Ovis aries: one gene and its partners. The protein of the gene in region 3 interacts with the protein of the main gene of each other region in a biochemical or structural test. Links are inferred from orthologs where the notes say so. Each region holds a gene or a part of one and is shown on either strand. Other genes may lie near its edges. The genes, in order: RASGRP3, RACK1 and PRKCB.

What was found.
Region 1: of the proteins of PRKCB (region 3) and RASGRP3, one has a biochemical effect on the other in vitro, tested with the Homo sapiens proteins (2 studies listed by BioGRID). The link is inferred for Ovis aries from reciprocal best matches to the Homo sapiens genes PRKCB and RASGRP3.
Region 2: the proteins of PRKCB (region 3) and RACK1 form a complex in vitro, tested with the Homo sapiens proteins (2 studies listed by BioGRID). The link is inferred for Ovis aries from reciprocal best matches to the Homo sapiens genes PRKCB and RACK1.

The regions. Positions count from the first base shown.
Region 1 is NC_056056.1:90,420,216-90,423,864, forward strand, and holds part of RASGRP3 (ras guanyl-releasing protein 3), read right to left. Parts: intron 1,801-3,649; coding exon 1,525-1,800; intron 1-1,524. UniProt on the Homo sapiens protein: Guanine nucleotide exchange factor (GEF) for Ras and Rap1.
Region 2 is NC_056058.1:38,114,127-38,118,364, forward strand, and holds the start of RACK1 (small ribosomal subunit protein RACK1), read right to left. Parts: upstream 2,936-4,238; 5' UTR 2,870-2,935; coding exon 2,761-2,869; intron 2,521-2,760; exon of another isoform or gene 2,453-2,520; intron 1,595-2,452; coding exon 1,423-1,594; intron 1,130-1,422; exon of another isoform or gene 1,051-1,129; intron 890-1,050; coding exon 742-889; intron 483-741; coding exon 387-482; intron 122-386; coding exon 11-121; intron 1-10. UniProt on the Homo sapiens protein: Scaffolding protein involved in the recruitment, assembly and/or regulation of a variety of signaling molecules. Interacts with a wide variety of proteins and plays a role in many cellular processes.
Region 3 is NC_056077.1:22,416,663-22,420,311, forward strand, and holds part of PRKCB (protein kinase C beta type), read left to right. Parts: intron 1-1,067; coding exon 1,068-1,226; 3' UTR 1,227-3,649. UniProt on the Homo sapiens protein: Calcium-activated, phospholipid- and diacylglycerol (DAG)-dependent serine/threonine-protein kinase involved in various cellular processes such as regulation of the B-cell receptor (BCR) signalosome, oxidative stress-induced apoptosis, androgen receptor-dependent transcription regulation, insulin signaling and endothelial cells proliferation.

The DNA of each region.
Region 1 (3,649 bases), on a different chromosome or scaffold from region 3:
TTCCCCCCACACCCAGTGAGAATGTCTGTGTGTTTATTATTTGTCACACAATCTGAACCCCAAGAGATTTGTGTTTCTGTGTGTTGACCACTTCTGCTTTATACGAAGAAGGCAGCTGCCATTATTGCCTACACCTAGGGGGTCAACTCTTTGGTAGACAATTATGTGTTCTAGGAACAGTGGGTGAGAAGGTCTAGGAACCATACTCTTGTTCCAGTGCAGCAGCCCTAGAGGATTTAGCCCTTCAGAGCTTCAGAGGGATTGTTGTTTTCATTTCCTATGGCCATTGGAAGGAAGTAGTTAATTCAGTATTGCAGCCAAGTTTCAAATGTTACAGTGTCATAAACCCAAACAAGGAAGTTACTCCTCCACTTGTTTCAGCTAAGCTGAGAGAATTTGCTTATGCCTCTTTCCCCCCTGACAAAGAAGCAGCCAATGGGAAATATTCTCTTCTACACACCTGTGTATCTAAAAGTGCTAGGACCTAGAGACCAGCTAACTGTGTGTGCCACTAATGCCCAAAATGATGAGAAGTGGGTTAATTTCTTCCAACCGACATCATTCCTAATTATAGCATTCAGTTCATCTGTTGAGCCCCTACATATGCCAGGTACTATGAAAGGTGCTGGGGACATGCAATGCATAAGGCAAGTAGACAGGAAAAAAAAAATCTAATGTCAAGTGGTACCTCCTATAGATAAGAAAGTACAAAGTGCAAGGGCAACACAGGTGTCAGATGCATTACTGCTTTGGAGGGAAACAGAATGCTCCCTGAGAACATCTAAATAAAGAGAGAGGCATTTAAATTTAAGCTAGTCATGGGATGCAGGGTAGGGAGTGGGATGGAGGGGTAAGGAAAGAATTTTCCAAGAAAATGCAGTAGCCAGAAAGTAGAAGGCAGCAATTACTGGTGGAAAGTGTAAGCCCCATACTCCTCAAAGGCAGGTGTGATGCAGGATCAGGTGATCAGAAACGAGGAGAGACTAAGAGTCAGAAAGCAAGTCTGGAAGGGCCTCCAGGGCCAGACTGGGAAGTGCCTCTGGTGATTTGGGGAGGCTGGTGGGAGTCGGGGCAGGGAGATCTTGGAGGAGGTTCCTGCTTTACTCCAGGCTTCAGCTACAGCAATGTGGTGAGGATCCAGAGAAGCCAGTGAGCTGAGGGCATAGCGAAGGGGGTGATGAATTAGATTAGTGTGATGCAGGATTGTGAAGCCCTGAGGACAGAGCTGGGGGGCCTCTCTAAGAACTCCAGAAACCAGAGCTGTGGGGGCAGAGACTGGGACCTTCAAAGCAAACGGAATTTTCTGTGCTTGGAGACCATATTTAACAGTCTGAATTTACGCAGGTTATAGGTGTAGCTTCCCCACCCTTCCTCCTTTGAGATTTCTTCCCAACCACTGACCCCACATCCAACCCCTCCCCTGCCCTCATTGTGAACTGCTGGCATGGATCTTCCTGCATCCCCTGGGAGGTGAGGTTCAAGCTCCAGTCTATTGGAGCACAAGCTCCAGCCCATTGAACTCACCGTGAGCAAGTTGATCAAATCCAGGTTGGGTTCCAAGTGGTGGGAGGCATTCTGCAGGGAGACCAGTTCACTCAGGGTAACGGAGAGCTGGTGCATTTTCACAATGTTGACTTTGTTCTCCTCTGTCCAGTCTGGGAAAATGACGTGGACTGCTATCAAGTCTTTCAAGTGGACGCCAAGGATTGGGATTTTGAAGCCGTCACAGTCGGCAAAAGCCTTGCGGTAATTACAGTAATTGCCGTTGGAGGAGACCAGTTCCGTCATTTCATTCCAGTTCTGGGGAACAGATGGAAAAATAGATTTTTCAGACGGCCTTCCCTTCTGCCCACCACCAGGCCCAACAGTGTGTGGCTAGGAAATTCCTCTGCTACCAAGAGAAGTATGGATTGCACCAACATTGATGCAGGGAGATACTAACCAGGAAAAAGAAAGTTAGAAAACCTGACTATGAATTGCACAGCCTGTTCCATTCTGCTACAAACTAGAAATAGCCCACACCTCTGCCTACCTACTAGGGATGTTGAGATGTTAAATGGCATCAGTATATAAGTATTTAATAATTCATGGAAATATTACAATCCGAAAAATAAGCATATATTATATTAACATATGCAGTATATTAAAATTTCCTAGTTCCAAGAAAGTTGCATTTGAGATATAACTTGAAGGGGACAGGACAGGGACAGGGGCAGGAACAGTCATATTGATGGGTGAGATAGCTGTGGTTTTGGACTCTGCCACTAAGTAAGAAGGTGACCTTAAGCAAGTCACTTCACTTTTAGGGACATTAGCTTTCTTTTTCTGCAAGAAAGAGGAGTTTGAATAAAAAATTTTTCAGTATACACTGGTGGTTCCAAGCCTCTATGAGCCTCCATTGAATTATCTTTTTTTTTCAATTTTTTTTCCATTGAGTTCTTATTTTCACATTTAAAACATGTTTTGCTCTCTACTGGAAATTCAGTACTAATCTAAAGGAAAATGAAACACATAATGAGCCCCTTTATACTTGAAATGAGTACAGTGTTTGAGGTCAGTCAGCAGTGCTTCTGTGTCTTAAATTCTCCTGTTCATATGAACAAGTTATTGTTGGTTGTCTAACAGCAACCAGACCTTCCTAATAGACCCTAAGGTGACTAGTATACTCTTTCCCATGTGTCTCAGATGGAGCTGTTTCCATGCCCAAGTCCAAGCATAGGTTCTGATCTACCATCATCATAATTTCATCCCCTTGATTTATGATTGGTTCAGGAATAAGAGTTAAGCCAATCAACATGTTGCATTCCTCTGGATACTGTTATTGGCCCAGGGGTGGGCGTGTGATTTGAGATGGTCCAATCTGCCTAAAAAAAGAAGGCCTTTATTCCATGAGGACAAAGCTAAAGAGGGGTTTTCCCTACCTCCAACTTTCATAAACAAAAGAGCAAAATTTTTCCACTGTTGCAGACAACCCAGTCAGGAGGGAAATCAGTCCGATGAAAACCAAAAACAACAACCTCACACTAAGCGGAATTCAGAGCAATTGAGCCAGAGTTCTGATCAGCCCATGCATGGACTTGGCCTTGCCACTGGACTTTCCAGGTATGTGACACAATCCATTTCCTTATTATTTAGACAATTTCAAGATTTTTTTTTTAACTTATAGCTGAAAGGGTCCTTAATGATACAGCAAAGTACACTTTTACAGAGAAATATTTTCATAAGGATGAAATGTTCTTTTTTGCTTCATAAGGAAATATTTAATTGTGGTCTGGAAAAAGTTCAGTTTGGGAAACAATCATTGCTTTAAATTATTTTTGTTCCTGGAAACTCAGCTATAAATGAAGGCTTTCTATACAAAAGATTTCTTTCGGTCCCCTCCCTCTTCTTTTGTATCTTCCCCCATGTTGAATCCAGTGCTATGAAGAGAGCAAGTGTTCAATGACTTCATTTGAGGAGTGGATAATAGGAATGATATCTGTCTTATTTGCCTTATAACCTTCATGTATTTCATAATACTGATCACATAGTAAGCACCAAATACATATTTTTTGAATATTTACAACTACAATATGTTAATGGGGTTTAAAAGCATTTGTATTGAACGCTTGCTGTCACTTCTATTCTGTTTTTCCAGGAGGTATGGCTA
Region 2 (4,238 bases), on a different chromosome or scaffold from region 3:
TATGAATCACCTTGCCTCCAGAAGCACAGAGGGATCCATCTGGAGAGACGGTCACAGTGTTCAGGTAGCCTGTGTGGCCGATGTGATTGGTCTTCAGCTTACAATTTGCCAAGTTCCATACCTAAAATTGTGGGTCAAAGGTGAAGAACCTGGGCTCTGGATCTATCAAGGTCAAAAAAAGGCATGGCACCATGCTTAAAAGGCATCCCTGGATAGGAGAGCCAATTTCCATTCTATCAGTGACAAAAAAGTCCAAGAATTATTAATCTTGGCCACTTACGGTCAGTTAAGGGACAAAGCTGATTCAAAGTTGATTATGACCAACTGGGAGGTAGTGGGAACACATTCTGGTTGGTAAAGGCCTCACGCCCTGGCTCCAAGCTCACCTTGACCAGCTTGTCCCAGCCACAGGAAACAATAATGGGATTGCTGCTGTTGGGCGAGAAGCGGACACAAGACACCCACTCTGAATGGCTTTCATCCTGCAGAGGATGGAAAGGAAATAAGGAGAAACTGTCTCGTCTTATGAAACTCGAGACCCCACCCTCCCCGCTCAGTTATGTGGGATATATATTCAGTATGTTGACAACCTGTATTCACACTTCCAGAACCCAAACCTTTAAGATAAGATAGAATCCCTTTAGGTTCCAGACGAGGCTTAAAATCACCATATAAAAGCACCAGTTAAGAAGGATGGGGGAAATGTTCAACATATGCTCCCTGCATGTGCCTTTACTTTACCTGGACAGTATATTTGCATACACCCAGAGTATTCCATAGTTTGATGGTTTTGTCTCGGGAGCCAGAGACAATTTGCCGGTTGTCAGAAGAGAAGGCCACACTCAGCACATCTTTGGTATGGCCTACAAATCGGCGAGTGGTGGTGCCCCTGAGAAGGAGGACTTGGTTACTCTCTAGAAAGACTGCAAACATTCTTCCAGTCAGGCTGTTTCCCTGGCCCAATTCCTCACCCAATGGAGCTGCGTTACCCACACCACCCTGGACATGGCTTTGATAAACGGCAGGCCCTTGGCCGAGAATATGCCAGAGAATCCCTTCAGAATTGCAGGACATGTCCTCACTCCCATGTGGGGATTGGCTGACAATGTCATCTGTCATCACCAGGATCCTCCATTATGCCTGACCACCCAAGACTGAGCTCCCAATATACAGTATGTTCAAACATGTTGTCTAGTCCCAAGTGCAGTATCTGATAAAACTGCTAAAACAGACCACTCTTCAGCAATTCTGTGTATCTAATTAAAAGCAACGGGGAGGGAGGCCGAACCACCACAAATATCTTCTCCAGGTACTGTGCCTTACAGTTCCCACTCAAGTACCCAATCACTACCCTGGGAAACCTGATGGTATCTACCTGCTTTCTACCCAGCTTTCCCCCAGTGCCCCAGAGCAGCTACTTGCGTTGTGAGATCCCAAAGGCGAAGGGTTCCATCCCAGGAGCCTGAGAGGGCAAACTGGCCATCTGAGGAAATGACCACATCACTAACAAAGTGGGAGTGACCCCGAAGAGCACGCTGTGGGATACCATAGTTGGTCTCATCTCTGGTCAGCTTCCACATAATGATGGTCTTATCTAAGGGCAGGTTAAAACAAAACAAACAAAAAAAAAGACCCAGTGAAAAAACCCCACGGCTCACCATCTGACCTTCTGGATCATAAACCAAGGGCATTTAGGGGTAGGGAAACTACCTAAAGGCTGAGAGTAGTTATTAGCCAAGTCCAAGTAACTTTAGTCAAGAGTCAAGCAGAGCTAAGTTGCACCCTGAGAATTTAACTCAGGTGTGTGAAACTTTACCAGGTTATGGATGCCCCTTTCGAAAATCTAAAACGATTCCACATCTATTTATTGGGCTTCCCTAGTAGCTCAGATGGTAAAGCATTTGCCTGCAATGCAGGAGACCTGGGTTGAATCCCTGGGTAGGGAAGATCTCCTGGAGAAGGAAATGGCAACCCACTACAGTACCCTTGCTTGGGAAAATCCCAAGAACTGAGGAGCCTGGTAGGCTACAGTCCATGGGGCTGCAAAAAGTCGGAGACGACTGAGTGACTTCACTTCCAGAATGCATGCACACAGCAGGCTGGATATGGAAGAGTAGCTGTGGGCCTCCTGAAACTACTGCTAAAGGATGCAAGAAATACTAGCAATAGAAAATCCACTTTAGGCGCTAAGGACTGGATGCTTTCACTGCAATGTGTTCCACTGAATAAACTTTCCTAGTAAGTGCCATACATGATTGTAGCCTCAGATGAACTATTTTTAAATAGCGTGAACGCAAAAGCAATCGCCAAGAAGTCTCCAAATGCAGTCAGGTACAGAGAGAATGAGAAGGAAAAAAAAAGGGGGAAGAAAGGGCTGCCCCGAAATAGCCGAGAGACTAGACACGAGGTCCGCCTTGGAGTCCACTTTTTAATGAGCAGAGGGTCCGGGCAGCAGCTCAGAAACAGCCTCTGGGTTTCAGCATAGGCACTCAGATGGCATGTTGGGATCATCACGGCGCCGCCCGACCCGAAGGCTCCTGGGCCCACAGATACATACACGGGTTTGAGAGGTAGCGATTAGAAAGGCCCCAGCCTTGCAACCCTCCCGGCAGCCAGCTGTTTCGGGGCTCGCCAAGTCGGGGACGCATCACCGGTTCATCCGCGATGAGGCCTAGGCACAGGTCAACTCACAGCCCACCGGCCCAACCATGTGACGCGCGCAACGACCCCTGCCCCTTAATCCAGCACCTCAGCCCGTACCTCGAGAGGCGGACAATATCATGTCCGGGAACTGGGGAGTGGTAGCGATCTGGGTCACCCAGCCGTTGTGGCCCTTGAGGGTGCCACGAAGGGTCATCTGTTCAGTCATGGCGACGGAGAGTGCGGGTGTCGCCGGAGCGACAAGGATGGAACTGGATAACTCAGAGAGGCGACCCGCACAACCGCTTCCACCGCGGCCCTGCAGAGGAAAAGAGAGAACCGCCCACGCCGGATCCGGAAATACCCGCCCTCTCGAACGAAATGGCGCCCTCCCATAATTCACTTCTGCTCAAGGTGGCAGCGCCATGTAGTTCAAAGGGAGAGATAAAAGAAGACTTCTGGTCCAGACCGTCGTACAACGTAATTTGGTAGCACCGTACAAATTCCCTTATTAAACCAACATGACTGAGTATTTAAAAAGGCTCCTTATGGTAGGGGAATGATGTCTCAAAAGCGTCAGAGAGGAAGTACACGCCCCAGAGCTTAGTAAGGGGAGCCTAGTGGCTTCACTGGCCTTACGTGGCACAGTCTGAACCCCTCCCTTTCCGCTTGGTGGCTCGGAGGGCATCGCAGAGGGAGCTTAATTTCATGGGCACAATTGTGAGTAACGGTGGGCGATGTGAATAATACTATATTAAAATTTCAAAGTAAGCTGCGTTCAGGTGAACTGTTAAACCCTAACAAATTCCATGCGCGGGCGGCGACTCTTCCCTCAAGAGGTTTATTCACTAATGGTGTTGGGTGAAGAAAGACAGTCCACCCAGGACTAAGGCAGGAATGGGTTACAGAGAGGAAAACCGGGAATGAAGGATAAGTTAGTCTGTGGGCTGCTGGACAATAAACCCCGCTCCCGCCTAAGCAGGAGCGTGGAGAGCTCTCGCAGAAACTGAAAGGCTTCAAGAGGAAGGTTGGCTCGGGCAAAACCACCTCATAAAAAGGTCCTTGGGTCTGGGTGTCTAGACGTGCCCAAGTATTTCTTTTCTGTTTGTCACGTGTATTATTTTCTCATGAAATGAGATTGGGAATAATAGTACCTACCTCACACGGTGTGGAGAGTATATTAGATAGGTAAAACACCCAGAGAGACCCCTGGCAAAGCAAATGCACAGAACTTAGTGAGCACCTCTTGGTTACCAGACGCAATTTTAGGTCTTGGGAACATAGCTGTGAACAGGTTAAAAGGGACCTGTTTCTTTGTTTTTTGAGTTTACATCCAATGAGATGGGGGAAAAGAGCTCAAGGGGGAGATTTTTAGCAAAGAAAGATATAGGAGAGATCTTTCGGGATTTATGGGTGGATGTTCCAATCCGAGGAAAGAATCAGTGCCAAAGTTCAGAGCTGGAGCGTTGAAGGCCCTGGGGACCAAACCAATGCAATGGGGGTGGGGGTGGCAGTTGACAGAGGGCCTTGCAGGCTGCTAGAAGGCCTGCCTTTGGGAAGGAACAGTGTGGGACAGTGGCAAAGCTTCTACGGGCTAT
Region 3 (3,649 bases):
TGAGCAACAGGGCATACATGCACATCACGATTGTCATCACTCCCACAATGTTCTTAGGTTGTGGTTGCCTCCTGTAGCTACTGAACACAGAGATTTCATGCAAATGGGTTTGCTGGTGAAGAAGGAGGAAGATCAGGCCTAGTGACTCAACTCTTCTCGTTAGATGGGAACTGGTGTGTGCATGTGTATGTGCTCACGCACGAGTGAACACATGCACACACACACACACACACACACACGTGCACGCGCGTTATCCCTCTAACTCAGACCAGGACCTTGTCATAGAGAAGGACAGCAGGAGGCATGAGAAATGGTGATGGTTTCTTCTCGAGAGCTTGGGGAGATCCCAGGCACTGGGTTGGCTTTCATCCACACCCTTCATTCCCATCTGGAGGGAGAATGGCTGCATTTATTTCCTGGTGCCTTGTAATTAAGGGTCAATGACTTCTCCTTCCAACCAGGGCCTCGTAGTGGCCCCGCCATTGCATCCACCAAACCCAGGTCTGGATGTTTCTCTCCATTAACTGGAGCATGTAAACTCTTGTATTTCTGGAGTTGGAGAATGTCTCCAGAGATGACTGAGAGCCAAAGGACAGCACTTTAAGAGACCTGCGGCTTAATGTTGGGAATCTCCGAGGTGAAGTATAAATGGGTCATTACTTTGAATCTTGTACCACAAAAATATCTCAGGGACCTTAATCCCATCTCCTCCAGGAATGAGGTTGGCCAGCTTCTTGGGGTGGAGTTGGGAGAACATGCCACATGCTACCATCCCCACCATCCCATGCTGCCATCCAGCTCCTGACTGCCCAGAAGGACACCACGGGCAGCTCATGAGCTACAGGAACTGAAGGTCGGGAGCCCAAGGTCACCTGCCGATCCGTGGTCATGAGAATTTTGCATTTTATGTTGCTCTCATTTCTGATCATCGAAACAATCTCTCCGAGGTAGTGAAAGGGAAGGGCTTCGAAAAGCCGCACCCAGTTTCGTTTGGTTCTGTTCTGTTTTCAGTTTCGTTTAGTTTATTTTTTCCACCCACCACAAATTCTTCTCTTCCCCTCTCATAGTGTGGGCGAAATGCTGAAAACTTCGACCGATTTTTCACCCGCCATCCACCAGTTCTAACACCTCCTGACCAGGAAGTCATCAGGAATATTGACCAATCAGAATTCGAAGGATTTTCCTTTGTTAACTCTGAATTTTTAAAACCTGAAGTCAAGAGCTAAGTAGCTGTGTAGATTTCCGTCCTTCATTTCTGTCATTCAAGCTCAACGGCTATTGTGGTGACATTTTTTGTTTTCCATTGCAAAGTTGCATCCATGTTTTATTTGCTGATGAAACTAGAGTGACCATGTTTCAGGACCCAAATGTCCTCAGGTAGTTTTGGAGCATCTCTGTGAGATGGGATTATGCAGATGGCACGTTGACAATGTGGCTGCATAATCAGCACATTATCAAAGTCCTTGTAGCATTTATTTTCCCCAGCATGTCAGCGATGTAGATCCAGCAGGGACAGAACATGACTGCTTTCTCCCCCTTTTTCCTGCACTGCCATTTTCATCCCTTTTCCAACGCCAAGCATCCAATCTAGATTTTTTTCCTGCCAAACAAGTGGATAATCGGATGTTAGCAGTATTCTCCTGCTTCCAGTCCTGGAGCTTGCCTTGTATCCAAGTAGATGGTTGCTTTGCCTTAGGGGGAATTTCCTCCATTCTTCCTGGTTTGGAGGCCCCAGGAGCTTTGGGGAAAAAACATGCTAAAAATAAAATTTTGGTTTTTTTTTTAACTCAAAAATTAAGAAGATTATCTAAGTCCTTTTAAAATTCCAAGAGTGTGCTTTTAGTAGTTTCAATCTAAGGGCACCTCCAGGAGTCATAAGGCAACCAGCTTGGGTGCTACCTTAATGCTGTAATTTCTGGTTCCCTGTGTCCCCCGATCACCTTCATCCCCAAACTACTTGAACAGGGCATTTGGACTTACTCCCTGGAAAGACATGGTCACTTTAGCAAAGTCCCAAAGGGCCATGGTTTTACATTACATTTCAAAGTTTATTTGCTTTGGGGTTTTATTTCTGTTGTTCAAATGCAAAAAAAAAAAAAAGTTACTCACTTTTGTTACACATGCTTTGAAATACGTGTCCAAATGTTATTAACCACAATGACCTGCTTTGATTTACCGAGAAGACGGCTCTAGAGCCTGGCAGACCCATGCCTGCTCGGATGGGATTTGTCTAGGTTTGTTGCTGGCTTCGGAAAGCTAATTAAGTGCTCTGAGAAAGATACCATGTCTTGAAAACATAGACAGTTGTATTCTTCACTTTGATGTTGTTTTGCAAGATGTTTGTGGAAATGTTTGTATCTGGATACCTGTTATGTGCCATTTTTCTTCTAGCATCGAGATACAATAAAAAAAAAAAAAAGCAAGAAAAAAGAAGAAATACTATTTCAAGGAAAACGGCTATCTATGAAAAACATGGACCCAAACTGCAGAATGGGGCCTCCTGAGGCTTCAGGACAGAAAAAATTAAAGCCAGATCTTAATCTTGGCCCCAGTGTTCAGCCAGTCAGAGAGACTGAAACTGTGGATCATTTAGAGACTCCTGGGGGCCTTTGATGGGGTGGGATGAGCTGGCTGGGGGGTTCTCCAATGAGATCAGAGCTCAAGGCTCAGATTCTCACCAGAGGCAAGTTTAGGGGCCAGCTAGGAGCAGGGCTGGGGCTGTTGAATTTGTTATCAAAATCACTACGCCTCTCAGCTCAGACTCATCCTTTCTAGCAAATAGCTTCATGAGCCCCCAGAAGCCCAGGGAAACCCCTTGATTGGGGAAATTCCGTTTCCCTCTGAGCAGAGGACAGCAGGTGGTCCCCCATCCCGCCTCCTGTCCCCCGCTGTCCTCAGGCAGCCCTGAAGGCAACTTTTGTCACAAGTCAAGTGATTTCCACAAGCGCCAGGGCTTCTAAGAGACCATCAAGGGAACTTAAAATACTTGACAAGTGTCCTTTAGGGGAGACTTCTCATCTTTAAGAAAATTGTGATTTGATTTCCACTTGGGCAAAGCCCCCTGCTGTTCACTCCTTTCTGCCTGCTCTCGTCTCCTTGCTGGGGGCTTGGGGACCATCCCTGTGGCCACTGTTGTGGGTCACAATCTAGACGTCAGGGGAAGCAGACTCGAAGCCCTAGCTCTCAGGCTTAGGAGGTAAGAGAAGGAGGAAAACTAGGGAAGAGCCTTCTCATTGTATTGTTGGGAAACTGGCATCAGGAGGGAGGAAGTGACTTGCCCAAAGTCAGCCAGTTGGAATGCAAACCCAGTTTCCTGAATCTCCATACAGGTCTCCCTCCTCTGTGACTGCCGTCTCTGAGCCATGCCCACCAACAGACAGGTTATTTGAAGTCTTTCATCTGGCTGTTGGGTCACCAAGCCTTTACTTGGATATACTCTCAGGAAGATTAAAATCAAGGAGAAACATTGGGCCATCGACAAGTCATGAGAGACAACTTTAGAGAACTACGTAGGATGAGTGAATAGATATAAATAAATAGGTAGATAGAGATAAATAGATATAAATAGAAAGAATATACTGTGTGTGTGTATATATATATATGTATTATATTTACTGCACTCTACATTTTCCAAATTGCTGACATTATT